Linked DNA regions of Cricetulus griseus. The protein of the gene in region 6 purifies or fractionates together with the protein of the main gene of each other region. This does not show direct contact. Links are inferred from orthologs where the notes say so. Each region holds a gene or a part of one and is shown on either strand. Other genes may lie near its edges.

The links.
Region 1: the proteins of Ezh2 (region 6) and Ctnnb1 purify together in Homo sapiens (affinity purification with western blotting; 4 studies listed by BioGRID, with this or other methods). This does not show direct contact. The link is inferred for Cricetulus griseus from reciprocal best matches to the Homo sapiens genes EZH2 and CTNNB1.
Region 2: the proteins of Ezh2 (region 6) and Ybx1 purify together in Homo sapiens (affinity purification with mass spectrometry, with the first as the bait; 3 studies listed by BioGRID). This does not show direct contact. The link is inferred for Cricetulus griseus from reciprocal best matches to the Homo sapiens genes EZH2 and YBX1.
Region 3: the proteins of Ezh2 (region 6) and Phf19 purify together in Homo sapiens (affinity purification with mass spectrometry; 10 studies listed by BioGRID and IntAct, counting the BioPlex papers as one, with this or other methods). This does not show direct contact. The link is inferred for Cricetulus griseus from reciprocal best matches to the Homo sapiens genes EZH2 and PHF19.
Region 4: the proteins of Ezh2 (region 6) and Usp44 purify together in Homo sapiens (affinity purification with western blotting; 3 studies listed by BioGRID, with this or other methods). This does not show direct contact. The link is inferred for Cricetulus griseus from reciprocal best matches to the Homo sapiens genes EZH2 and USP44.
Region 5: the proteins of Ezh2 (region 6) and Phf1 purify together in Homo sapiens (affinity purification with mass spectrometry; 15 studies listed by BioGRID and IntAct, with this or other methods). This does not show direct contact. The link is inferred for Cricetulus griseus from reciprocal best matches to the Homo sapiens genes EZH2 and PHF1.
Region 7: the proteins of Ezh2 (region 6) and Trip12 purify together in Homo sapiens (affinity purification with mass spectrometry; 3 studies listed by BioGRID, with this or other methods). This does not show direct contact. The link is inferred for Cricetulus griseus from reciprocal best matches to the Homo sapiens genes EZH2 and TRIP12.

The regions. Positions count from the first base shown.
Region 1 is NC_048597.1:228,017,470-228,019,732, forward strand, and holds the end of Ctnnb1 (catenin beta-1), read left to right. Parts: intron 1-502; coding exon 503-711; 3' UTR 712-723; exon of another isoform or gene 724-1,142; 3' UTR 1,143-1,763; downstream 1,764-2,263. UniProt on the Homo sapiens protein: Key downstream component of the canonical Wnt signaling pathway.
Region 2 is NC_048595.1:32,887,712-32,891,211, reverse strand, and holds the end of Ybx1 (Y-box-binding protein 1), read right to left. Parts: intron 1,698-3,500; coding exon 1,463-1,697; 3' UTR 1,432-1,462; intron 768-1,431; 3' UTR 387-767; downstream 1-386. UniProt on the Homo sapiens protein: DNA- and RNA-binding protein involved in various processes, such as translational repression, RNA stabilization, mRNA splicing, DNA repair and transcription regulation.
Region 3 is NC_048599.1:146,619,064-146,623,288, forward strand, and holds the end of Phf19 (PHD finger protein 19), read right to left. Parts: intron 4,086-4,225; coding exon 3,990-4,085; intron 2,816-3,989; coding exon 2,473-2,815; 3' UTR 501-2,472; downstream 1-500.
Region 4 is NW_023276806.1:159,842,046-159,845,545, forward strand, and holds part of Usp44 (ubiquitin carboxyl-terminal hydrolase 44), read left to right. Parts: intron 1-404; coding exon 405-513; intron 514-2,896; coding exon 2,897-3,102; intron 3,103-3,500.
Region 5 is NW_023276806.1:232,131,055-232,135,005, forward strand, and holds the start of Phf1 (PHD finger protein 1), read left to right. Parts: upstream 1-1,151; 5' UTR 1,152-1,310; intron 1,311-1,938; 5' UTR 1,939-1,954; coding exon 1,955-2,113; intron 2,114-2,197; coding exon 2,198-2,279; intron 2,280-2,362; coding exon 2,363-2,458; intron 2,459-3,093; coding exon 3,094-3,194; intron 3,195-3,283; coding exon 3,284-3,432; intron 3,433-3,580; coding exon 3,581-3,676; intron 3,677-3,810; coding exon 3,811-3,879; intron 3,880-3,951. UniProt on the Homo sapiens protein: Polycomb group (PcG) that specifically binds histone H3 trimethylated at 'Lys-36' (H3K36me3) and recruits the PRC2 complex. Involved in DNA damage response and is recruited at double-strand breaks (DSBs).
Region 6 is NW_023276806.1:222,346,834-222,350,995, forward strand, and holds the start of Ezh2 (histone-lysine N-methyltransferase EZH2), read left to right. Parts: upstream 1-1,362; 5' UTR 1,363-1,457; intron 1,458-4,162. UniProt on the Homo sapiens protein: Polycomb group (PcG) protein. Catalytic subunit of the PRC2/EED-EZH2 complex, which methylates 'Lys-9' (H3K9me) and 'Lys-27' (H3K27me) of histone H3, leading to transcriptional repression of the affected target gene.
Region 7 is NC_048595.1:436,881,013-436,884,512, reverse strand, and holds part of Trip12 (E3 ubiquitin-protein ligase TRIP12), read left to right. Parts: intron 1-1,401; coding exon 1,402-1,574; intron 1,575-1,871; coding exon 1,872-1,945; intron 1,946-2,612; coding exon 2,613-2,812; intron 2,813-3,500. UniProt on the Homo sapiens protein: E3 ubiquitin-protein ligase involved in ubiquitin fusion degradation (UFD) pathway and regulation of DNA repair.

The DNA.
Region 1 (2,263 bases), on a different chromosome or scaffold from region 6:
CCACGAGCTGGTCTACTCGTCTGAGAGCCTGGGCCTGGGGGAAGTGGTAGCTGTACTTGAAGGTGGTCCCTGAATTCCAAAGTTGCAGTATCATACTTTTGTCTTAGAGGGAGGGGTCTAGGATGGGTGGTTCATAGCTGGTCCATCAGAGCCTTCTGGACCCAGATTTGAGCAGCATAAGGTACTGCTGCCATCACCCCATCCTGGAGGCTTTATCCAAGGAACTGTTGGAGCTCTCTGGCTCCTCGTCTGCACGGTCATACGCAGTTTGCCTGCCAGGTAGGCCTCAGTCTGCTGAGTGCGCCACACGCAGGAAGTCAGGCACAGTGAACTGCTGCAGGTGTGTGGTAGTCTCTGGAGCTCTTGGAAAGCCTGGTGTTGTGTAATTACTTGGAAGAGGAGACTAGAAAGCATGTTCCTGGCAAGGTGTCCTAAACATGGCTAACCCGTCTGTCTGTCTGTCTCTCTCCTTTGCCTGTCTTGGGCGCGCTGACTCTTCCAGATCCCAGCTACCGTTCCTTTCACTCTGGTGGATACGGCCAGGATGCCTTGGGGATGGACCCTATGATGGAGCATGAGATGGGTGGCCACCACCCTGGTGCTGATTATCCAGTTGATGGGCTGCCAGACCTGGGGCATGCCCAGGACCTCATGGACGGGCTGCCCCCAGGTGACAGCAATCAGCTGGCCTGGTTTGACACTGACCTGTAAATCGACCTTTAGGTAAGCAGCTTATAAAAGCCAGTGTGGGTGAAGTACTTTACTCTGCCTACAGAACTCCAGAAAGACTTGGTGGGGTGGGAATGGTTTTAGGCCTGTTTGTAAATCTGCCACAAAACAGATACATACCTTGGAAGGAGATGTCCATGTGTGGAAGTTTTTCACTTTGATGTTTTTGCCACAGCTTTTGCAGCGTTACACTCAAGACGAGTAACATTTGCTGTTCTCAACATTAATTAATAGCAGCCTTTCTCTCTGTACAGCTGCATTGTCTGAACTTGCATTGTGATTGGCCTGTAGAGTTGCTGAGAGGGCTCGAGGGGTGGGCTGGTATCTCAGAAAGTGCCTGACACACTAACCAAGCTGAGTTTCCTATGGGAACAGTCGAAGTAAACTTTTTGTTCTGGTCCTTTTTGGTCGAGGAGTAACAATACAAATGGATTTGGGGAGTGACTCACGCAGTGAAGAATGCACAGGAATGGATCACAAGATGGCGTTATCAAACCCTAGCCTTGCTTGTTTTTTTTTTTTTTTTTTTTCTTTTGTTTTTATTTTTTGTTTTTTATTTTTTTTAATATCTGTAATGGTACTGACTTTGCTTGCTTTGAAGTAGCTCTTATTTTTTTGCAGTAACTGTTAGTTTTAAGTCTTGTAGTGTTATGTTCTAGTGAACCTGCTACAGCGATTCCTGATTTCTGAGAACTGAGTAATGGTGTAGAACACTAATTCATAATCACGCTAATCGTAATCTGGAGACGTGTAACATTGTGTAGCCTTTTGTATAAATAGACAGATAGAAATGGTCCGATTAGTTTCCTTTTTAATATGCTTAAAATAAGCAGGTGGATCTATTTCATGTTTTTGAACAAAAACTTTATTGGGGATATGTGCGGTAGGGTAAATCAGTAAGAGGTGTTATTTGAGCCTTGTTTTGGACAGTTTACCAGTTGCCTTTTATCCCAAAGTTGTTGTAACCTGCTGTGATACAATGCTTCAAGAGATACGGTTATAAAAATGGTTCAGAATTAAACTTTTAATTCATTCGCTTGTGTCACTTTGGTTTGTCCCGAGATGGTTGTTGAGGTTCGAGGAGGGGGAGTGCTTGTTCCTTCTCCAGCATCCCACCAGAGGAAGGAAGTGCATGTGTGCCAGTACCAAAGGGTTATTTATTAGTTTTAGCTCACCCTTCTTGCCTAAGAACCTAGCAGGCTTCCTGCAGTAGTCTCTGTGTTACACTGAGCAGTCACTAAAGCTGGACCCCGAATAAGCCTCCCTTTGGACAGTGTCCGTCCCACTGAGCAGTAAGGAAGCACTGCCTGGATTTGTATCAAGCATCATTGCGAGTGTGGCTCACTTGGAGAGGGCAATCTTTTCACGCCTTTGAACCAGTAATTATGTTTAAATGCTTGTGTTTATCTGAACACAATCAGAACCAGAGTGGGCTGCCTTCCGAGTGGCCTGCCAGAGCTGGCCTGGTGGTGGGTCTGATCAGCAGGCATTGTACATTTCTCACACAGACCTGTTAGCCAGCATTCCAGCCCTG
Region 2 (3,500 bases), on a different chromosome or scaffold from region 6:
TTAGACTTGGTTGACAAAGAGCACCCACTATTCCCCATCCCAAATTCTCTAATGCAGTATCTTATATTCTATGGAGCTTTTATAGAGGGAAACATCACTTGGACTTTCAACAGCACTGCAAAACTCCTCTACCCTTTTACTTTGCAGCAAAAGAAACCTTTCCATCTCCAGACTCCACAGCTGATGTCTTACATAGAGCATTCTGGACAGACTAACTCACTTATACATAAAAATGGACAACTAGCTGATTAAGCACCCAGATAAAGACTCTGATCTTAAGAAAGTGTCCCTTTGGGGGGAGGACACCCATTTGTAAACCGCTTCACTCTAAAAATCGTGAAAATGGGAGGAAATTACCAAATTATGACAAAACTAGACAGACACTATTATTTAAGACCTTTATTAACAGATGCTTGCAGTTTGTTAATTTTTTTTTGAAAAAATCAAGTTGTAAACTTTTATTACAAATTAAAAATGAAGTTCTTAAAAATCTCAACTTGACCAGATATGAAACAATTTAAAAACCATTAAAGGTGTATTGAGAAAAACCAGACCTTTTTTTTTTTTAAAAAACACGTTTGTCATTACCAAAAAGAGACATCTTTAGGTAAAAATAATAAAAACCCCATGCTGCATAGATAATGCAGATAGTTCTAGTGTATCTGGTCAACGGGCAAAAAGCAAGCACTTAAGGTCTTCAGCTCCAATCTTTGTTCATTTCTTATTGCTGGAATTTCATATTCATTTCTTCTTGTTGGATGACCAAACTGCAAAGAGAAAGACTCATTATTTACCATATTCTTCACATAGTGGACCAATCAGTCACATTTTAACTACCTCATTTTGCTTTAGCCTAAGAATGATTCATAACAGGAGTGGACATTACTGCATATGGATGATCTTTTGCTACTCAGCACATACAAAGGGGAAGAAAATGACAAGCCCAGAGCCAGAGATACTTTCTTCTCTTTTCTTGCTTGCCCCCCCCCCCCCCCCCCCGCGTAGCCTTGGCCGTCTTGGAACTCAGATCCCCCTGTCTCTGCCTCCCAAGTGCTGTGATGAACGGTGTGTGCCACCACTGACAGGCTGAATTTAGTCTTTTATCGGCAAGTAAAGCCAAATGGAAGCTAGGCTTGGAGGATTTAAGGCTGGCTTCAAATTCAGAGATCTGCCTGCCTCTGCTTCTAGTGCTGGAATATATCTCCAGAGAACCAGGAGCAAGACTTAGTTTTCTGCTAAGATCACAGAGTTGACCGACAGACATAAGTTCATAGTCAAAACATACAACATGAAGACTGATCTAAAGGGAGACATTTTGTCTAACTTGGATTAGAGTGAACAGTAATAAAGTGCTTGTTTTACTCTATTACTGTTTTTAGTTTCTTTTGCACCAGTGCACAGTGCAGTGAACCGCAGAGGATGACTACTTACCCGGATGATGGTAGAGATGGTAAGCCGGCATTTACTCAGCCCCGCCCTGCTCAGCCTCGGGAGCGGACGAATTCTCAGCTGGTGGATCGGCTGCTTTTGTCTCTTTGCCATCTTGTGGTTTAGGGTTCTCTGGGCGTCTGCGTCGGTAATTGAAGTTGCGGCGATACCGACGTTGAGGTGGTTGCTGACCCTGGGTCTCATCTCCTTGATTTTCCTTGTCTTCTTCATTGCCGTCCTCTCTAGGCTGTCTTTGGCGAGGAGGGCCCCTGAAATGAACATTATATAACTTCAAGAGTGATAATACTTGGTACTTGGTTATACCTACCATTTTCTTTTATTGGTTGTTCTGACAGCTTAGCAAATGTAAATTACTTCCAAAAGCCAAGTGTAAAAGATTCTGTATAAAAGGTGTATTTCTTCATTTCATTCATATAAACCAAGGCCAGTAAAGCTGAGCTTGCTGCTTAAATGCTTGGAATTGAGTGCTGGTGCACTCAATTCAATACTTTTTTTACTCAACTTATTTTCTTGCTAGTAACTATTGTTCTATTGTATGTTCTAATCTATCATTTCTATTTATCATACACTAAAATTCTTGACCACACATTTTCTTCTTAACTCCATTCCATCAAAAGGATCCATACTTTCTATCCATGTGTCTTAAGATTTGTGGCATGGTTGGAAAATCATACCCTTTGTGCAAACTTAAAAAAATTACTATAAAATTAATTCAAGGGGCTGTAGAGAGAGATAGCTCTGCAGTTAAAAATACTTGTTCAGAGGACCAGTGTTTGATTCTTAGCACCAACATGGTGACTAGCAACCACCCCTAACTCCTCAGAACCATCCAGTTTCAGGGGAACCCACAACCTCTTCTGACTTCCACAGGCACCAGATATAATACATTCAGGCAAAACATTCACACACATACAGAACATTAGCTGTAACAAATCAAGGAACAAAAGCCTATGTAAGGAAGCAATCAGAGTGTTTCTCTGTAGTTTTGGCTATACTGGAACTCACTCTATGGATCAAGGTGTCCCTCACAGCCTCAAACTCAGATTTGCCTGCCTTCTATGCCTGGGATTAAAAGCCAGAAACACCACCACCTGGCAGTATCTCTAACTTAAACCACCACCAAAATATATTTGCTCAAGATACTAGTGAAACTAGCAAGAGATTTAAGCTACACTCGCACACCCAAGATTCTGTTGTTGACAACTATAGACTAATATATACTGATAGGAGAGCATGCTTTACGTTTTATACTTAGGCTATGGCAATGGGTGTAGCACTGAAGAATTTCCAAATCATTAAAAACATTAAGTCATCAACATTAAAAACAGAAAGAATTCAGCACAAGGACAACACAATCAAATCATATTCACCAGGGAGTAGTCCAGATGCCCCAGTGGTCCCCAAGCACCCACAATTCATGTTCGTAACATCAATTCCAGAACATCAGATGCTTTCTGGACACCATCATACATGTGTTACACGCAGGTAATGTTTCAAATAAAATCAATCTAAAAGTTAACCAAGAAAAGGTTCCTAATTCATCTGAATTAAAAACACAGGACAGGGCAAACCCTTTTAATCCTAGCTAGCACTCAGAAGACAGAGGCAGGCAGATCTGGATCTGAGTTTGAGGACAGTCAGGGCTAGACAGAGTTCCAGAACACCCAGGGCTACATAGAAAAACCCTGCCTCAAAACCAACAGGACAAGGACAGCAGGTGTGGTGTTTCACTCTTTTTAATCCCAGGCCCGAGGAAGCAGAGGCAACTCAATTTCACTGAGTATTGGCCAGTTAGAATTACATGAGGTCCTGTCTCAAAAATAAAAATCCAACCACCACAGGGCACATAAGCTTAGACACTGACCATGTTTTGGTACTATTGGGTGCTGTGTAACATGTCTTCCATCCTAGCCACTCAAGAGGTAGAGGCAGAAAGATGAGTAGTTTGAGGCTAGCAGCCCAAGCAACTTAGTTAAATTCTGTCTTAAAAAAAAAAAAAAAGAAGAAAAGAAAAGAACAATGCCAGGGAGAGGAGCCGGGAGAGTGATCAA
Region 3 (4,225 bases), on a different chromosome or scaffold from region 6:
CTTCCTTCCTTCCTTTCTTTTTTTCCTTCCTCTCTCTCTCCCTTCCTCTCTCTCTTCCTTCCTCTCTTTCTTCCTTCCTCTCTCTCTCTTCCTTCCTCTTTCTTTCTTCCTTCCTCCCTCCCTCTTCCTTTCTCTCTCTCTCTCTCTCTGAAGACAGAGTATCTCTGTGTAACAGCCCTAGCTGTCCTGAAACTAGCTTTGTAGACCAGGTTGGCCTCCAACTCAGAGTTCTACCTGTCTCTGCCTCCTGAGTGCTGGGACTAAAGATGTGCACCACTCTGGTTTATTCCTAAATCCTAAGGGTCAATGCTTGCTGTTACTTGCTGTTACAGTAAAGGGAGAAAAAACAGGTTCCACGTTGTCAAAGGGCAATAAGGGTGGGAACCCAGCTGAGAGAACAGCAGTTGCTGGGTGGCCTCGATGGCCTTACATCCTCAGTCAATCTCCAGGACGCCAAGAGTGGAATGTGAAGGCTTTTCCAAGGACACATTTACACTGTAAACCAGACAACAATTATAACTTTAATATAACAAATATTCAAAGCAGCAATTCAAAACCAAAATCTTTTCAAAGGTGCACAGGGTTACACTGTCAGTTGGCAGTAATGCAGCCATTATCTGTGGGAGTGAAGAGCTAGTGTGAGGGTCAGGTGACCTGCTCAGGCCTTGGGCTGGTTTCCCCAATGGAACAAGCACACTCCTCTCCTGCTCTTCAGGCCCAGCAGGGGAAAGGCAGATGGCCAGCCTGCTCTCTGGCTCTCTCAGCAGCCTGGAGGGCAGATGTTGGAGGTTGGCATGCTTACTGAAGCCAACAGGAAGCCACAAATCTGACCCCAGTTCCCACACTACTGCTGGCCTGGGACCTGGCCCCACTTGGGGATCTCAGTGGCAGCAGCTGTGAGACTGAGAACGGGGACCAATGCCATCTGCTCATGCTTGCCTGAGACAAGAGAGAGAAGCAGAGGGAAATGGGTGGCTGTGTCCAGAGTGAGAGGTGATGTCCCTTTGTAAGGCACTACAATTGCTGAGGTTTAAGGCAAGGACCATCTAACCTACTCCTGGGACCCCCTGAATGCTTGCAGACAGGTGTGGAGGGGTCAGGCCTAGTCATGGAAATATCAGCCCCCTTAATACAGGTCTGATGTTCCCATGCTGGCCATCTTCTTCTTCCAGCTGGCAGCCTGCAAAACCCTGCCCAGCTGGAAGCCACAGCAGCAGTCAGGGAGGCTGGTCCCAATCTGGTGCCCCTGCCTCCCACCCCAAAGGCACTTCTTTCCACTTTCCAACCAAGTTCTAATATTGCTGCAGGCAAATTAAGGGCTTCTTGCCCACCTCCTAATTTTGATTTCACTCCAGATGGGGCTGTTTGTCCATTTTAAGGGTTCTCTTTATACCACAAGGACAAAGGCTTCCTTTATGAAAGGAGGGAATGATTCAGGCCCTTGAAAAAACCCCAGCCTGTCCCCAAAGTGATTGTCAGTTCCAGGGTGAGACAGGTGCTATTCAGGAGAGGGGTGTCTTTTGTGCTTCTCTGTGGGGGTCAAGGCTGGTTTACAGCCAGAGGGGGTAGGAGTTTGTTTTTCACATTTAATTGCAGCATGTATCCCAGCAGCATGTATCCCTGGAAGAGGTCAAGGACAGGAGCCAGGGTGCCCAGAGGGAATGTGACTGTGTGTGTGTGTGTGTGTGTGTGTCTCTCTGTGTGTGTGTGTGTGTGTGTGTCCATACAGTGGTGTGGTGTTGGACTATGATGGGTCTGGGATTTAAACTGACCTGGCTTGGCTCCCCATCATTTCTTTTGAGATCTAAGTGTTTAAGAACAAGGCCAGGCTCCACTCCATGACAACAGAGAAGGGTTATTGCTGGAACAAACTTCTGGGACCCTATAGTCTTCCCTCTGAGCCTCAGTAAAAGACCCTGATCCTGGTCCCTTCAGCAGAGACCCAGCTCATCACTCCCCAGGCTCTGGGTCCCAGGCATTCCAAATTTTCTCAGACACCTTCCTGGCATTAGGGGTGTTGGTGAGAAAGTGGAAGACCCTCAGGGGTTCCTTTCTCTCAGTGTGGTCCCAGTGAGAACCCAGAGAAGGACAGACGTACATGTGCACATAGAAGATGTGTGACAACACAAAATACCCAAAAGGGGTGAGGTAAAAAGATAGAGAACTGGGGACAATGACAATCAGATTCAGGCCTCAGGATCACCAAGGGTCACATCCAGGGTACCATGGAGCCAGAGGAACTAACAAACAGTTCGAGGGGCATGAGAAAGTCAGCGGGGTCTAGAGACACAGGCAATCGGTACAGCAGCACACAGGCCTTGGCCTGGCGGGCAGCAGGCAGGAGCTATAGCCAGGCCCTTATGGCCCTGCTCTGCTTCCCTCCACCACCCTGGCCTGGAGAAAACAGGGAGCCGATGGCTTCTTCTGTCCCTCCTTTGGTTTCCAGGGGTCTAGGTAGCTCCTGAGGGGTAATCAGTAAGGGGTAGTCCCTTCCCATTCCAACAGGTACTGAACTTTGCCCTCTGGTGTGACCCTCCGAGCCAACACTTGATATTTCTCCCCACAGGCCAGCCGTCCAGCTGCACCAAAGTAGTTGGTGATAGATGACTTGAGGTGAGACAAGGAGGAGTCATCTTCACTGATGCTTTCCAACGTGTGTCTGTCAATGCCTTCATCTGGCTGCTCAGGGCCCAGAGCTCCCTCTGCACTGCTGTCTGAGGGGCAGCGTCCATCCAGCTCAGCCGCCTGACGCTTTGCCCGCAGGGGCACGTATGCTTTGGCTGCCAGCTTCCTCTTGCGGCTGCCTACTGTCCATCTGTATCAGGAGGGAAAAGGGGTGAGCTGGGACAATGATTAGGTTCCTTACCCCGAGAGTCTCTTAGGTACCGTGCCGGACCTGGGCGTGAATTATCTTGCCGGAACTTCACAGTAGTCCTGTAATGGGGAAACTGAGGCTCCAGAGAAGAAATCAGCTAGAGAACAGAGGCCAGGAGTCAAACCTGGGTGTGCTTAACTTAAATAGCAAATGTTCTTTGTATCCGGAAGGGTGGGTTGTGTATGCTTCCAAAGTCCCACAGTCAAAGGCCTTGTTTAGGCTGCCTGTTTTTTTTTTTTTTTTTTGGATGAGCTGGATGAGCTACACAGGGAAAGGAACTGAAGGACCTGCACCACACAGGCAGGGGTATTAGCAAAAAGATACAAGAGACAAGCTACATGGTAATGGATGCTGAGACATGGCTGCCATGACCTGAAGCACTAGTGAGAAACCCAAAAAGCAGAAAGACTAGGGGTGATAGCCCAGTGATAGAGCACTCTCTAGTATTCATGAAGCCTGGGTTTGATCCCTAGAATCCAATTAAAGCTACAGAAGGGCAGCCAGCCAGAGACGTGTGAAAATAGAGAAGGGATTCCATCTTTATAGACATGGACTGCAGTTTAAGTCTACTCCCACAAAGTCTCTAGAAGATGGAGGATCCCGAGTAAAGAGGGGCTGTGCCCGGCAGTAAAACAAGTTATACCCTTAGCCAGACAACCAGGGTCTTTTGCCTCCCCCTACAGTCTGCCTCTCTTCTATGCTTAAAATAAATGGATTTTCCTCTTAGGGACCCTGGCATACAAATCAGCCAGCCAGGAACTGATAATAGGAGCCCTGCAGTCTGAGGCATAGACAAACACAGTCATGACACATAGAGGCCAAGACACCCAGAATGAAAAGGACTCTGATAAAACAGCCCCAGAATTGGGTTGCTTGATTAGAGGGATCACACGGCTATCAGGCAAAGGACGTCCCAAGTGGAAGGGATCACAACACCTTAGCCTCCATTCTGGTGACTTGGAACAGAGTGTCCAGAGTAGACTCAGTCACAGAAGACCAGCACCCCTCCCCTACCTCTCTATCTCAAGACTGGGAAGTGCAGAGTAAGTCTTCCTACAGCAGTGAGGACTGCGATCCCTGGCAAAGCTCTGGGGCAGGCCCTCAGGAAGCTCACCTGGAGTCATAAGAGAGGCTGGTGGAGGCAGAGCCGGAGGTGCTGGCAGCATCCGTGGAGTCCACGTCTGAGAAGACTGTCTGGCTTGAGCTGGTACTGAGAGGGAGAGAGGACAAGCCTGCTGCTGGGCTGCTCAGCAGCTTCTATGTCTCTCATGGCATCCTCCATCCAGCAGAGGCCACCTTCTTCTCACTGCCAAGCTTCTCACTCGTCCCAGGCCTGCCTGTCTTATTTTC
Region 4 (3,500 bases), about 63 Mb from region 6:
TTTATTTTCATGTGTATGAGTGTTTTTGCCTGTATGTATATAAGTACACCACATGTGTGGAGCCCACAAAGGCCAGAAGAGGGCAGGGCATTCCCTGTTACTGTGGCTACAGGCAGTTGTGAGCCTCCCTGTGGTCCTGGAACTCAACATGGATGCTCTGCAAAACCAAGTACTTGCTCTCAGCTGCTGACCCCTTACAGGATTAGTATTAAGTCCTGGGGTTACCTAACTTGACTACTCAAGTTTCTTGTTTACATCATGCACTCGTTGGGGTCAAAGCTTATGCTCATCTAGCACAGTGTGATGCTGTAACAGTAGATTAGTTGTAAAAGAGTTTACTCATGTTTCCCTTGTAGTTTTGAAACTGAGGTTTTCTTTTGCTTTTTCTTTTTTTGCTATTTTAGCAAAGCGTAGAAAGTTTTCGTCAAAACCAGTTGTACTCACAGAAGCCCAGAAACAGCTTATGATATGCCACCTACCTCAAGTTCTCAGACTACACCTTAAACGATTCAGGTCAGTAATGCTAGTTCTACCAGTTATGAGTAATCTGGTCATTCCTTCTGTTTAGGATGCTTCAGAACTTAACATATACATATGACGGATTAAATTTGAACACTATATACCTGGCTAGTGGATGGCATCCTTCAAAAAAATGTAGTTACTATCTTTAACTTGGAACAATAGGCATCATCCATATTTAATAACTGAGTTTTGTTTGTTTGTTTGTTTGTTTTTTGAGGTAGGGTTTCTCTGTGTAGCCCTGACTGTCCTAAACTAACTCTGAAGACCAGGCTGACCTCGAACTCACAGAGATCCGCCTGCCTCTGCTGCCTGAGTGCAGGGATTAAAGGCATGTGCTACTATTGTCCAGCTTTGTTACTGCTTTTCTGAGCCAGGACCAGGGCAGCCTGGAACTTACTATGTAATGTACCCTAGGCTGGCTCAAATTGAGTATCCTTCTGCCTCAGTCTCCTGGACACTCATAAGAGTATATCACATATCCTAGCAGTGACTATGACCTGCTATATATATTTTAATATATTGTTTAATACTCAGGTATACTTTTAAAAAATGTAATTTGTAATGTGTATATTTTACTCAGTTGCTTAAAATATACTAATCAACATAGTTTGGGGGCTACTGAGAAGGGTCAAAACACCTGCCATCAAGTTTGATGACTTGTGTTCAATCCGCTGAACCCCACCCATGGTGAGAGAACTGAGTCCCCTAAGTTGTCTTCTGGCCTTCACTCACACACTGTAGTATGAACAGCTTCCAAAATGAACATCAAAATAAAATGTAGTAAGTGTAGTGGCACACACCTTTAATCCTAGCACTTGGGAGTCAGAGGCAGAAGGATCTCTGTGAGTTCAAGGGCAGCCTGGCCTTCAGAGTGAGTTCCGGGACAGACAGACAGGGTATACAGTGAGACCCTGACTCAAAAATAAACAAATAAAATCTCAAGTTCAATTCAAAGCCTTTTTAAACATGTATCTATTTATTTGTGTAAATGCATGTTCATTCACACATAAGAATGCCACAAAACACATGGAGAGGTCAGAGGACAGCTTCTGAGAATGGCTCTCTCCTACTGTGTAGGTCATGGGGATTGAACAGTTTGACGGGATTGGTGGCAGCCACTCTTTCCCACTTAGGCTGTCTTGCTTTGCTAGCTCCTAAAGTAGTTTACATAACTTTTTTTTTTTTTTCCCCTCAAAATAGGGTCTTTCTGTATAGCCCTGGCTGTCCTGAACTCTCTCAGTAGACCAGGCTGGCCTTGAACTCAAAACTCAGAGATCCACCTGCCTCTGCTCTCTCCAGTGTTGAGATTAATAATTTCTTAGCCAGGCAACGGTGGTGCACACCTTTTAGACTCAGTACTCAGGAGGCAGAAACAGGCAGATCTGAGTTCGAGGTCAGCCTGTTCTACAGCCAGGGCTACACAGAGAGAGACCCTGTCTCACACCCCCCCCCAAAAAAAAATTTCTTAAATTTCTTAAATTCAAGTACAGCATTACACTGTTACAGTACACTGTTAACTTTGACTGTTTAGGTGTTTGTTGTAGCAGTTAATTAAGATGCTGTGAGAGATAGTAGGTTCCTTTCTCAGGATTATAGAAATAATGTCACATTTGAGGAAAGGTGGTAAAGTGTGTAACTTTCCCAGAGCCTGTCTTAGGGCACTTGGGGACCTCAACCTTTCAAGTCTTAGATAATATGGCCACACCTTTAGGAGTCCTATCTGAAGCATAGATCCTAACAATCTAGCACAGGACACCTACACCCACCCTGTTCCATACTCTCTGATGCTTGAACAGCCACTTCTTCAGAACCTCCTGGGACAACTGATCTTTACCCCATAGCTGCTCTTAGCCACTCAACCATGTCCCCCTCCCCTTTTAATCCTATGTATCTCATGGCCCAGTGTTGAGCTTCATACAGCATGCCCAAAAGATAAAGTATATAAGTGGAGGATCACTTAAGCCAAAGAGCAACATGAACAAGGAAGGTATGGAGGGAAGAATAGGGCATACAATAAAGGTTTTTCAAAACAGGGTTTCTCTGTGGCTTTGGAGGCTGTCATGGAACTAGCTCTTGTAGACCAGGCTGGTCTCGAACTCAGAGATCCACCTGCCTCTGCCTCCCAAGTGCTGGGATTAAAGGCCTGCGCCACCACCACCCAGCTATTTATGCATTCTTAAAACTAATGGGGCAATCTTGGCTGGATCTTTCTGCAAAGTAATCCTAAATCCTCTATGGCCAATTCAGTATTGAAAGGGTGTGTTCTATACAAATTCTTTGTATTTCGTGGTCTATGAGATCCACTCTTAAAGCTGTCTAGACCTAATGTAAAGCAAACTTTCTCCCCTTGATTTTTACTGTTGTTTGTTCCCAGATGGTCAGGACGTAATAACCGAGAGAAGATTGGTGTTCATGTTGTCTTTGAGGAAACCTTGAACATGGAGCCCTATTGCTGCAGGGAGACCCTGAAAGCTCTCAGACCAGAATGCTTCATCTACAATTTATCTGCTGTAGTAATCCACCATGGGAAAGGATTTGGCTCAGGACACTACACTGCCTACTGCTACAATTCTGAAGGAGGTACAGCCAAGAAAAACCATTTTTTTCTTGGTCTAAAACTGAGAACTTATACTTAGGTTCCTAGCAGTTTCTAAGTTGACCGCCTGACCAGTTGCCTTCTTTCTAGACAAAGGCTTTCTGCAGTTGGTGCTGCTGGATTACTGGGGTCAGGAGTACAGAAAACAGTCTACTCCCTATGTTAGTTACTCTGGCTATTCTGGAATTTGTTATGGATACCACACTGGCCTTGAACTGGAGATGTGCCTGTGTCTGCCTCCCCTGAATAATGGGATTAAAGACACATGCCATATACAAGGCATCTTTTTTTTTTTTTTTTTTTTTTTTTTTTTTGGCTTTGAGATAGGGTTTCTTGTCTGTAGATCAGACTGGCCTCAAACTCAAGAGATACCCCTGCCTCT
Region 5 (3,951 bases), about 9.8 Mb from region 6:
GTCTCTCTCTGTGTGTACTGGGGGGGAGAGGGGGGTGAGAGATACGCTTTTATTGGGTGGACATCATTTGTACCCAACTATCAAATAAAGAAATTTTGTTGTAGACTTTACGCATGGTTGTTTTGCCTGGGTGTGTGTACATGTGCGCCATGTGTATGCCTGGTGCTTCTTGAGTTCAGAAGAGGGCTGGCTTCAGGTCCTCTGGACCTGGTCTGATGGATGGCTGTGAGCGACTGTGGGTTCTCTGCAAAAGCAGTCAGTGCTCTTAACGACGAGCCATCTCTGCAGCCCTTGTTACGGCTCTTAAATAAAGGTCTTGTTAGTCCTGGTAGGTTGTAAACAAATACCGTAAGCTTGCAGAAGTGTGGCTTCTGACGTGTGCTTTGCACAGTGAGGCTATGGGCTTTTCTCTGTTGGGCTCTCACTTGGCTGTCCTTCAGCGCGGGTGTTGCACCCATAGCTGCCACACCGGGCCTGGTGTGAGTCCCAGCGCGCTCGATCCGCATCCCCTCCCTCTGCCTGCCCACCGCTTGGAACTACGGTTCCCTGCCGCCCGCTGCCCATTGGCTGGCTGTGGGCACGTCACCGGCTGGGTGCTGGCCCTGCCGCCCTGGCTCGCCCGCTCGCCGGCCCTGGCCCGCTCGCTCGCCTGCCCGCCCGGGAGGGAGGAGCGCAGCCGCACCGGGCTCCCGCGGCAGGAGGTGTGGCTGTCTGCCCAGGTGCAGCGCCCAGGCGGGGCCGCGCGTGCGCAGAAGGGCGGGGCGACAGGAAGTGTGAATGGGGAGGGCGGGGCCGCGTGCGGAGGCGGGGCTTGGAGTGGCCACGGGGGCGGGGCAGCTAACGGATGTGGCATGGGGCGGGGCTGGGCCCTGACCTGCAGGCTGGCTGCCAGCAGGGTTATTTCCTGCCGCTCCCGGGGCGAGCCTCCCGTCCGGAAAGGGGGCTGCAGGGGTCCCCTCGTCCTGCCCGGCCGGCCGCGCCCCCAGCCGTGCGGTGCCCTCGGGGCCTGCCGGGGGTGAGGGAGGTGCTGCCTGTCCGCCCCTCCGGCTTCTCCTCCCTCTGGTGCTCCCCACCCACTACTCCTCCCTCCCGCCCTCCCGCGGCCGACTCCTCCCGCCGCCGCCGCCGCTGCTTTGGCTGCTGCGTCATACGCCCCAGAGCCGCTAGGACGGAGGGGCTGGGCCCCGGGACCCCCGGCCTCCTCCTGCACGCCCTCGGCGTCCGCACGCACTCCGCCCGCGCCGGGGCTCGCGCCCCTAGGGCTCTGGGGTCTGCCCCTAGCTGGCTCCCTGCTGACCCAGCTGTCACCGGTAAGAAGGAGGCGGGAGGCCCTGAGCGGGGGCAGGGAGGGGGCCGGGGGTCGATGCTCAGCAGGGGGCAGGAGAGCCTCTTGGCACCGGCTTAGGATCCGGGCTGGGGGGACTCGAGTCCCTCCTCAGACCGGCGGTGTAGGGTAGCGGAGACCTGGACAGGGACACGCCCCCCTCCTGGGGCACTCGGGGAAGTTATCTAATCCCAGGGCAAGCAGCCTCAAATTTGAGGGTGACCTAACATAACCTGGCACCAGGACAGCGGTTCTAAATGAGACACACAGGCCTGGGGAGGCGGATGTCTCTACTCAGGGAAACATCTCCAGAAAAGCTCCCAAAATATCTCTGGGCAACCGAGCGTCCCAGTTAGGATACCTCTAAACAGCTGGGAAAGGCGAAACTGAATGAATGGTAACCTTGGCTCTGAAAGCATCTTTTCCCCTAAGGCCCCAGGGAGCTGGGATGCTAGAGAACCAGGCTGGGGACCAGGGTGACCCACCTCCTTAGGTGTCTAAAGGATTCAGTGACTGAGCTTGGAGGTGCTTGGTCCCTTATCCTTGACAGTAAAAGCAGACAGAGCAGCCAAGCCTTCTTAACATTCATAAACTCTTCCATCGTATCTGATTAGCCCCTCCCAGGATGCAATGGCGCAGCTCCCCCGGCTGAGCCGCTTGGGTGCACCCTCTCTTTGGGATCCAGCTTCCCCTGCTCCCACCTCAGGCCCTAGACCTCGACTTTGGGAGGGTCAAGACGTGCTGGCTAGGTGGACCGATGGGCTGCTGTATTTAGGCACCATCAAAAAGGTAAGAGCCAACTCTGGGCCCCACCATGGATCCTCTCCCTCTGATTCCTGCTCCCACTTTATAATCTTTGCTCACCCACTCCAGGTGGACAGTGCTCGGGAGGTGTGTCTGGTCCAGTTTGAGGATGATTCCCAGTTTCTGGTTCTATGGAAGGACATCAGCCCGGGTGAGACCCTTCATAACTGCAGAAGCTGGAGGGTGTGGGGGACACTGGCTGAAGTAAGCCACCTGACACCTTGTCCCTCACAGCTGCCCTCCCTGGGGAGGAGCTCCTCTGCTGTGTCTGTCGCTCTGAGACGGTGGTCCCTGGGAACCGGCTGGTCAGCTGTGAGAAGTGTCGTCATGGTGAGAGGAGAGGGCAGGATACTTGAATGGTACAGTTTGCCCTGGGTCTTCTGGATTGCCAGTTGTCTTCCTAGCATGGGTCTTGTGTCTCCTATCTTGGCCAGTCTTCACCCTGTCACCTCATCTCAGTACAGGGAGAGGGAGCCATAGGATGAAGATGACATAAGCCATGCAAGGTTGAGGGTAGCTACATACATCTCTCTCTCTCTCTAAGGTTGAGGGTAGCTACATACCTCTCACTCTCTCTCTCTCTCTCTCTCTCTCTCTCTCTCTCTCTCTGTCTTTTAAAGATTTGTTTATTTATTATACAGTGTTCTGCCTGCATGTACAACTTCAGGCCAGAAAAGGGTACCAGATGTCACTACAGATGGTTGTGAGCCACCATGTGGTTGCTGGGAATTGAACTTAGGACCTCTGGAAGAGCAGCCAGTGCTCTTAACCTCTGAGCCATCTCTCCAGCCCCCCCACCAAACACACACCACACACACACACACACACACACACACACACACACACACACACACAGTAGGACCATGGTCAGGATATAAACGCACAAGGGAAGGCTGCCGTGTACGAGCACCAAGCCAATGCAGGTGCGCACACAGTGTTTGACTCTCAACATTGTCCTTATTCAGCTTATCACCAGGACTGTCACGTTCCCAGGGCCCCAGCCCCTGGAGAAGGAGAGGGCACATCCTGGGTCTGCCGCCAGTGTGTCTTTGCGATTGCCACCAAGGTAAAGGCACCTCTCTGCCACTTCCTATGGGAGCCTCCCATGGCCCCTTCTCTCCTGCCTCTCTGAGGTTTCCACCTGTTCCTCTGCAGAGGGGGGGCGCCCTGAAGAAGGGCCCCTATGCCCGGGCCATGCTGGGCATGAAGCTCTGTCTGCCGTATGGACTAAAGGGGCTGGACTGGGACGCCGGGCACTTGAGCAACCGACAGCAGAGCTACTGTTACTGTGGAGGCCCCGGGGAGTGAGTGGTGGGGGTGCTGAGTTCTGGGGTGGACGCTGTGGTGGTAGAGCCTGGAATAAAGGGGAAGGGGCAGGCTGAGGGGAGCCCCGAGGTGATGGGAGGTGGGTGAGGGTTCAGGGTGGTCTCAGGCAGGCTGTCTTCCCCTGAGGTGGAACCTGAAAATGCTGCAGTGTCGGAGCTGTCTCCAGTGGTTCCACGAGGCCTGCACCCAGTGTCTGAGCAAGCCCCTCCTCTACGGAGACAGGTGAGCCCAAAGGAGGCTGTCCAGGAAGCCCAGGGCGCCCGCCTGCTGTGCTCCACCCACGCCCAGGCCTCCCAGCGTTCGCTGTCTACCACTTGTAGAGTTGAACGAGGTGCGTTCTCTGTCCTCATGTCCAGATTCTATGAATTTGAATGCTGTGTGTGCCGGGGTGGCCCTGAGAAGGTCCGGAGGTTACAGCTTCGCTGGTGAGATGGATTGTGCCTTCCTTCCTTCCTTCCTTCCTTCCTTCCTTCCTTCCTTCCTTCCTTCCTTCCTTC
Region 6 (4,162 bases):
GCATTTGTCACATGCACTCTGGGTGTACATATTTTGTTTGTATTTGGACATAATTGCATTTTCTCTCAATCTTAGAGATTCTAAGCATACTTCTCAGCATTGGATAGTTTCAGTACACATGAAGGACTAGATGCTTTGCTGCTATTCTCGGTGGTCAACTTGACTATATCAGGAATTAACTAAAACTCAAAGAGGCTGGGTGTACCCTTCAGGGATTTTTTTAATTAAATCATTTGTTTTTAATCTGGATCTTTTGAGGTGGGAAGTTAAACCTACTTGTTTTAGCTCCAGGTGGCAAATCCATTCTCTCACTGGCAGTATATTAAAGACCAGTCAAAGACATCCAGGTTTGTGGAATGAACTAATACTGGATTCTTGGTTTTCTGTTGGTGGACAGCAATTGTTGGACTAGTTGGTCCACAGGCTGTAAGCAATTCTCATATATCTCCATCTTCATCTACACACACACACATACATATATATTCATTTTATCAGTTCTGATCCTCTAGAGAACCACGACAGATACATAACTCAATTTCCAGTGTTACAAATTCTCAGTCTTAACTCTTCATTATTGAATCTGTTTTTACGGGTCTATGGGATTTTGCCATACAGACACATATTATTAAAAGTGAATTCGGCCGGGCGCTGGTAGAGCACGCCTTGAATTCCAGCACTCGGGAGGCAGAGGCAGGCGGATCTCTGTGTGTTGGAGGGCCAGCCTGGTCTCCAGAACTAGTTGGAGGCCAGCCAGGGCTACACAAACGAAGCAAATTCGAAGTTTCTTTCACTCCAGCTGCCAGATAACGCAACAGGGGTTAAGAGTGTATACTAAGCACATTCCTAACTCCTCTTGGTTGAGACAGAGGGACTCCCAAGGTGGTTTTCTAACCCTTGACAAACGTTGCAATCTTCCTTACACACTTTCCCGCGACAGCAGGGGGTAGGCGATCTGCTCTCCGAAGTTGTTAATAAACAACCTGGAGCCGGACAAAGCTGAGCAAACCACAAACACGGCTTGTTCAGGAGAAACCCGAAGTCACCGTCCTGTTGCTTTTTTCTGACGCGGCCGGGACTCTTGGCGCCAGCCGGTTCTGCGAGCCAAAGACGCCGAAAGGAACCGCGCTTTCTCTGCCCCGTGGGGTCCGCCACGCGTCTTCCTGTGCGAGCGAGGGGCCCCGGGGCCCAGCCAGGATGTGCACACCAGAGATGGCGGTTACAACTGTCACCTCCCCCAGATTTGAACTATTTCAAACTTGGCTCTGGCGCCCGCCCGCTCGCTCGCCCGCCCCCCCTCCCTCCCCTCCCCCTCCCCCTCTGGAGAGCGGTTCCCGCCAAGGGCAGGCCCGCCCTCCGGCCGGTTCCCGCCACCGCGGCCTCCCCGCCTCCTCTCATCACAGCGGGCTTCGAGGCCTGCCGAGTGCCGGGCCCCGGCCTGCCCGCGGCGCCCCCGACAGGTACCCGACGCCGGCACCAGAACAAAGACGGCGACCGGGGGGCGCCTTCCACCGCGCAAGCCGCTCTCCTCCTCCTCCTCCCTCCGCCGCCTCCTCCTCCTCCGAGCGAGCGAGCGAGCGCCCGCCACTCGCGCCCGCGCGCAAGGCTCTCAGCGCGTCGGGCGCTCTGATTGGACGGGCGCACTCCGGCGTCCGCCAATCGGGGCGGCGCTTGATTGCGCTAATAAAAGCGATGGCGATTGGGCTGCTGCGTTTGGCGCTCGGTCCGGTCGCGTCCGACACCCAGTGGGACATCGAAGGCAGCGGAGTGGCGGCGGCGCGTGGGGGCGGCGCGCGGGAGCGGCGCGCGGGAGCGGCGCGTGGGGCGGCGCGGGCGAAGGTAGCGCTCGCGACCGGCGGTGGGCAGTGCGGGCTCCGAAACGCGGCGCCCCGGGGCGGCGGCGGCGGCGGCGGCGACGCGCGGACCTCGGCGCGGGTGCCCGGCCGGTCTCCGGCATCGCCCGAACGGGGCTCCCTCGGGCGCCGCTTTTGTCGGCGCGGGGCCGGCGGGGAGGGCGACGGAACCTTTCCGAGGGGGCCGTGAGGTGCGGGCCGGTCCACGCGGTCCCGCGAGTGTCCTGTGCGGGTCCCTGGAGATCGAGCGCACGGGCGGGCGGGGCCGGTGGCGGGGGCTCCTGTCCGGGAGACCGATCCCGCCCGGCCGGCTGGGGCCCGCGTCGGGGCCGGGGCCCGGGGCGTTCCTGTGGCCGATCGGGACCGGCAGCTGCGAGCCTCAAGTCTCCTTTGTGTGGCGGGCGGGCGGGACGGGACACCACACACAAGTTGGTGGGACCGAGCGGAGTCCGCACTCAGACAAAGGACGGACTGTGTCTCCGGAGCGGAGCGGAGGGGAGGGCGCGACCCCCGGGGCTCCCGCCGCGCGGGTGGGGGCGTGGGGAGGCGCGAGGCGAGCGCGAGTGGGCAGGGCTCGCCTTTCGGGGCGGGCCGGGCCGGCCGGGCTGGGCTGGGCGCGGGGTGGGGGCGGGCGGGCGGGCGAGCAGCTCTCGGCACCCGGCACCGCCGCTGCGCTTCGGGACTGCGAGCGCCAGCGAGGTGGGACCTCCCTCAGCCCCGAGGCTGACATTTCCCCGAGAGCCGCGGGGAGCCTCCTCGCCTGGCTTTGTGCTAAGTTCCCTGGGGACAGTGGAGCTGCGCCCGGGGCTCTCGGTGGCCCCGGCGCGGAGGGCTCGCCTCACGGTGCATCGCCCCCTGCGCGCACCACAGGCTGTGCCGCGCGCGGGGCGACTTTTTGGGAAATGGGAGAAACTGAGAAAGCACGGGCTTTCTTTCTCCAAACTTGGTGGGCGTTTCGTGAGTTCCACTTTCTAAAGAAGAGTAATCTTTTTTTTTTCTGTTGTTGTTTAAAAAAGGGGCTGTTTAGGCCAACTTGTTTGCTTTTGAGAATGGCGACAGGTGCTAACGAAACCAACTGTCATTTACTCAGCGATTATTCCCCGAATCTCCAGGGGTTCAGTGTGGAAGAGATGATACAACTGGATGATCGAAATAAAATGCCCACGAGAAATGTGGGCTTAGACTGTAGTAGGGTTGACAGTTTCTTATTAGTGGGTCATGTTTTCCCTTGAACAATAGCTTTGTTGAGTCAGAAAAGAGGTTTGCTACCCAAGAAATTCGAATGTATTCTGGTCACAATTCCATGAAACTTCCTTTGTTTATTACATACGATCTGTAGAACCTAAATTCATTTGAAGTAAAGAATCTGCCTTTGATATTTAAAATACTTTACTACAAGGCTTTCTCGGTTTCAAAAAAGTCGTTATTAGTTTAATTTTATGGGGTTTTTATGTCACATAAAACATTTGAAAAATATTTTAAAATGCTAATTCTGTCACAGTTGAATGTAGTTTATATTTCTGGCAATTTTTGAATTTATTTTCAATTACCTTTGATTAATGGACATTAGCAGTGAATCCATATTTAGAAATAAAATATAAAGCACTATATTTTAAGCAATTTACTCATAATTTTATTTGCAAAAACGTGGAAATATTTGGGTCATAATTTAATTTCCTGTTCTTGTTCTCCCAAGTTGGAAAAGGATTGTATTCTGGTCTTAAACGAAAAGATTCCTGCTTTTTCTCTTTGGAGTCATATTAGAGAATGAGCTATTTAAAGCCCCAGAAACACTTAGGAAAATTGCATCCTAAATTATTATTTTGATGGTGCTTGAATATACTTCTTAAAAAACAAAGCAAAAGGAAAGCACAGGCTCTGCTTATTGCAGTGTTTTATATAATGAAGACCTAAAGTACATTTGCTAACTTACAGCTTCATACAAATGGAGAGAGACAAAGATGCAGTGTCAGATCTCTAGTGCTTCAGATTTGTCAAGCAGAGCATCTCAGAACAGACATTCCAGTGCTGCTCTAAGTGTTGAAACTAAAATAAGATTTACATTTATTTTAAAGTCCTGTTGATACTCTCATTCATTATGACATGAGCTAGTTGTGTAGAATTTTGGTAGAAACTTGGGTGTTAGACTTTAAAAATGCCAGTTTTGCCTGAACATGTGACTTGCCCTATCGTTGACATTTGCTATTTTGTACTTGCAACAGATATTTTTTAAAACCTCTTTTTGAAGAATTGGCTAAGATTTTTGCCTTATGTTTTGGTAGAATTGACAGTATTTTTAGGCAGTCTAAATA
Region 7 (3,500 bases), on a different chromosome or scaffold from region 6:
TAACAGCTCTGGCTGTCCTGAAACTTACTTTGTAGATCAGGCCAGCCTCAAACTCAAAAGAGATCTGCCTCTGTCTTCCTAGTGCTAGGAATTAAAGACATGTGCCACCACTGGCTGGCCCAATAAAGTTTTGTTGGGTTTTAGCATGTAACCAATCATATTGAAGTTTGATAAATAAAAATTTGTGTTTCTTACTGGTGTTAGGGAATTCTGAAATCTTCATTGAAAAAAGCAATATGTTATTTTTTAAAATCCATGTTTTCTTGTGTTTAAAATGCATTTCTTAAAATTTGAATCTAAGCAACAACTATAGTCATGTGTAGAATAATGCTGTTCATAGTATGGCTGAAGTTTTCTGCATAACATGCTGCATCAGTATACTATCTTGGAATAGTGTCATGAAACAAAGGGTGTCACAAAACATGCTGGCATACCCGTAATGTCATCTAAAAATCAAGGAAGATGAATTCTATTTTCTTTTTGTGTGTGCTTTAGATTTCACTTATAAATAAAAGCAAAATTAAAAAAAAAAACAAAACTTTGCTGCATCCTTTTAAATGAATAGCTATAAGAAGCCGCCATTCTGAACTAGTCTGGGATATTTGAGTATCAAAAACATAAACCAGAACAAAAAAGACTTGAGGCATTTCACTTTTGTCTTAGTTTATATGAACTATGCTTTGAGTGCTTCATGGAGTTGTATAATTAGCCACATTTTAAGTTTGACTATATTTGACTTTTGTCAGAACTTTGAACAGGAAGAAACAGTTATCAACTGATGTAGCCATTCATTTAGAAGTATGTAGCAAAGTAAATGTGAAGGTTAATTTTTATTTATTTATTTAGTTTGATTTTTAAGAAATTTATTATGTATATAACACTCTGCACACCAGAGAAGGGCACCAGATCTCATTATTACAGATGGTTGTGAGCCACCATGTGGTTGCTGGGAATTGAACTCAGGACCCCTGGAAGAGCAGTCGGTGCTCTTAACCTCTGAGCCATCTCTCCAGCCCCTAGTTTTTATTTTTATATCATTATTTATTGTTTTTATTTTTGCAAGTGAAATTAAAGTAAAATTAAAAACAATAGAGGGTTCTTTCCCTCTTTTGAATTTAGTAGGGAAGCACAAAATACATCAGGAGTGAGTGTGCTCAGATAGTAAGCCACTGATCACATGAATTCACAGTGGCCAGAGATCATTTTATTTTATGCTTTTACTTGAATTAAAAAAACTCATTTAGTTGCTGTTTATAACAACTTGTATTGAATAATTTGATTTGTTGTTAAATCTTTTAAGTACTTTGAACCATAAGAAAAGGAAGTTTTTGTTATCTTTTTAAACTACTAATATGTTGACTGCAAATAATAGAATAACCTTTTTTCTTAAATTATCTTGAGCTTTTCTCTCAACAGAGGATCACAAGCTTTAAAATTTTTCAACACACATCAGTTAAAATGTCAGTTACAAAGACACCCAGACTGTGCAAATGTGAAGCAGTGGAAAGGCGGTCCTGTCAAGATTGATCCCCTGGCTTTGGTGCAAGCGATTGAAAGATATCTTGTGGTTAGAGGTAAGATATCTTGTGGTTAGAGGTATTTTCCATCTACCTACTTTACCTGTGTTGTTATGAAATTAGCATTAGAGAGTATATTGCTGTTTCTGATATACCTTAGGTATATCTGCTTCTACTAGAAATGGACATATGTTAAACTTCCTTAATGGGCAGTATTTCAGAATTTTGTAGCTCTTTCTTTTTCGTATAGTAGAATGTCTACTTCTTTTTAAGAAAATAAAAGTTTAACCAATGTGTATAAACTTCTATCTGACACCTAAAATTTCTAGATAACTATCTACTCTCCCCCCTTAGGATATGGAAGAGTAAGAGAAGATGATGAAGACAGTGATGATGATGGATCAGATGAAGAAATAGATGAGTCTCTGGTAAGTTATTTTTTACATAGTAGTATTGTAGTATATGCTCATCATGGCTTTCCATGGATTCAAATGGCCTCATGTCAACCATTGTTGGAAAAAAATCACAAAAATGAGTAATTGTTCTAGTAATTAGTGACTTATTTTAGTGTATTTATATAATCATTTTGTTACTAATTTCTTGTTGAATTTGCTTATAAATTGGAATAATTTTTAGTTGTGTATGTAGAGGGAAAAAATAGACTAATATAGGTTGAGTATCCCTAAAATGAATTCAAAATCTGAAATCAAATGGATGCTGCATATGCAATATCTGCATTTGCGAATATGTGGTAGGTTGTAGAAAAAAATGGAAATTACATTACTTGTACCAATATTCAGTTGGCTTCAAAGCTGTGGATGCAAAATACGAATTGTCTAGACATGGGGTCCCATCCTTGTGTATATGCAAGTATACTTAAAACAAACAAACAACAAAAAAACAACACTTCAAAGAAAAAAATTTCAATTTCTGAGCATTTCTGTCTTTAAGCATTTCAGGTGAGTGATTTGGGCTTCCGGAGGATCTGTAGTTTTAAACACCCACCACAGGTCTTGTTTTCCCAGCAGATATGTCTTGGTTAATACACAGATGTCAGTACTTATGCTTATATGGACCTTTCTTTGCTTTATTCAGGCTGCTCAGTTTTTAAATTCAGGAAATGTAAGGCACAGGCTACAGTTTTATATTGGAGAACATTTACTACCATATAACATGACGGTGTATCAAGCAGTGCGGCAGTTCAGTGTACAGGCTGAAGATGAAAGGGAATCTACTGATGATGAGAGCAATCCTCTGGGAAGAGCTGGTATTTGGACAAAGACTCATACAATATGGTAAGTCTGAACTGGTTTCTCTTGGAAGTATATGATCTTTGTTTTGGAATTCTTACTAAATTCATGGCCCTATTCTATGAGGAGAGGAGAACCTAAGCCTTTCCATATTTAATATGCATGTGTGTATTCCTCATTCTGTCTACTAGAAAACATGTTTATAGGCAGTAGTCTACTTTTTGATTCATTTCCGGTCTTTTTTTTTTTTTTTTAAGATGTATTTATTATGTATACAGTGTTTTGCCTGCATGCATGCCACACACCAGAAGAGAGCACCACATCTCATTATAGATGGTTACAAGCCACCATGTGGTTGCTGAGAATTGAACTTGGGACCTCTAGAAGAGCAGCCAGTGCTCCTAACCTCTGAGCCATCTCTCCAGCCCTCAGTTCAGGTCTTTACTGGAGTCAAAATGATGTGGTATTAGATTATAAGTTTGATAGCTCTGAGTCCTGTGGCATTTGGACACAGCTTTTGTGCTGCCTTTAGTGTCTGCCACTAGTAGAAGAGAACATTTCCTAACCTGGGAAAACTTGCTTACTTAATATTTTCTTTTAGGAAAACAAACTCTTGAAACCCTGAATCCAGATAGGGAGGGAGAGTGTAAACTTCAGAGAACTCTTAGGAATTCTGTGACTTACACATTAGCTTTGTTGAATATAGACATTAGCTTTTTTGAATAATTTTCAC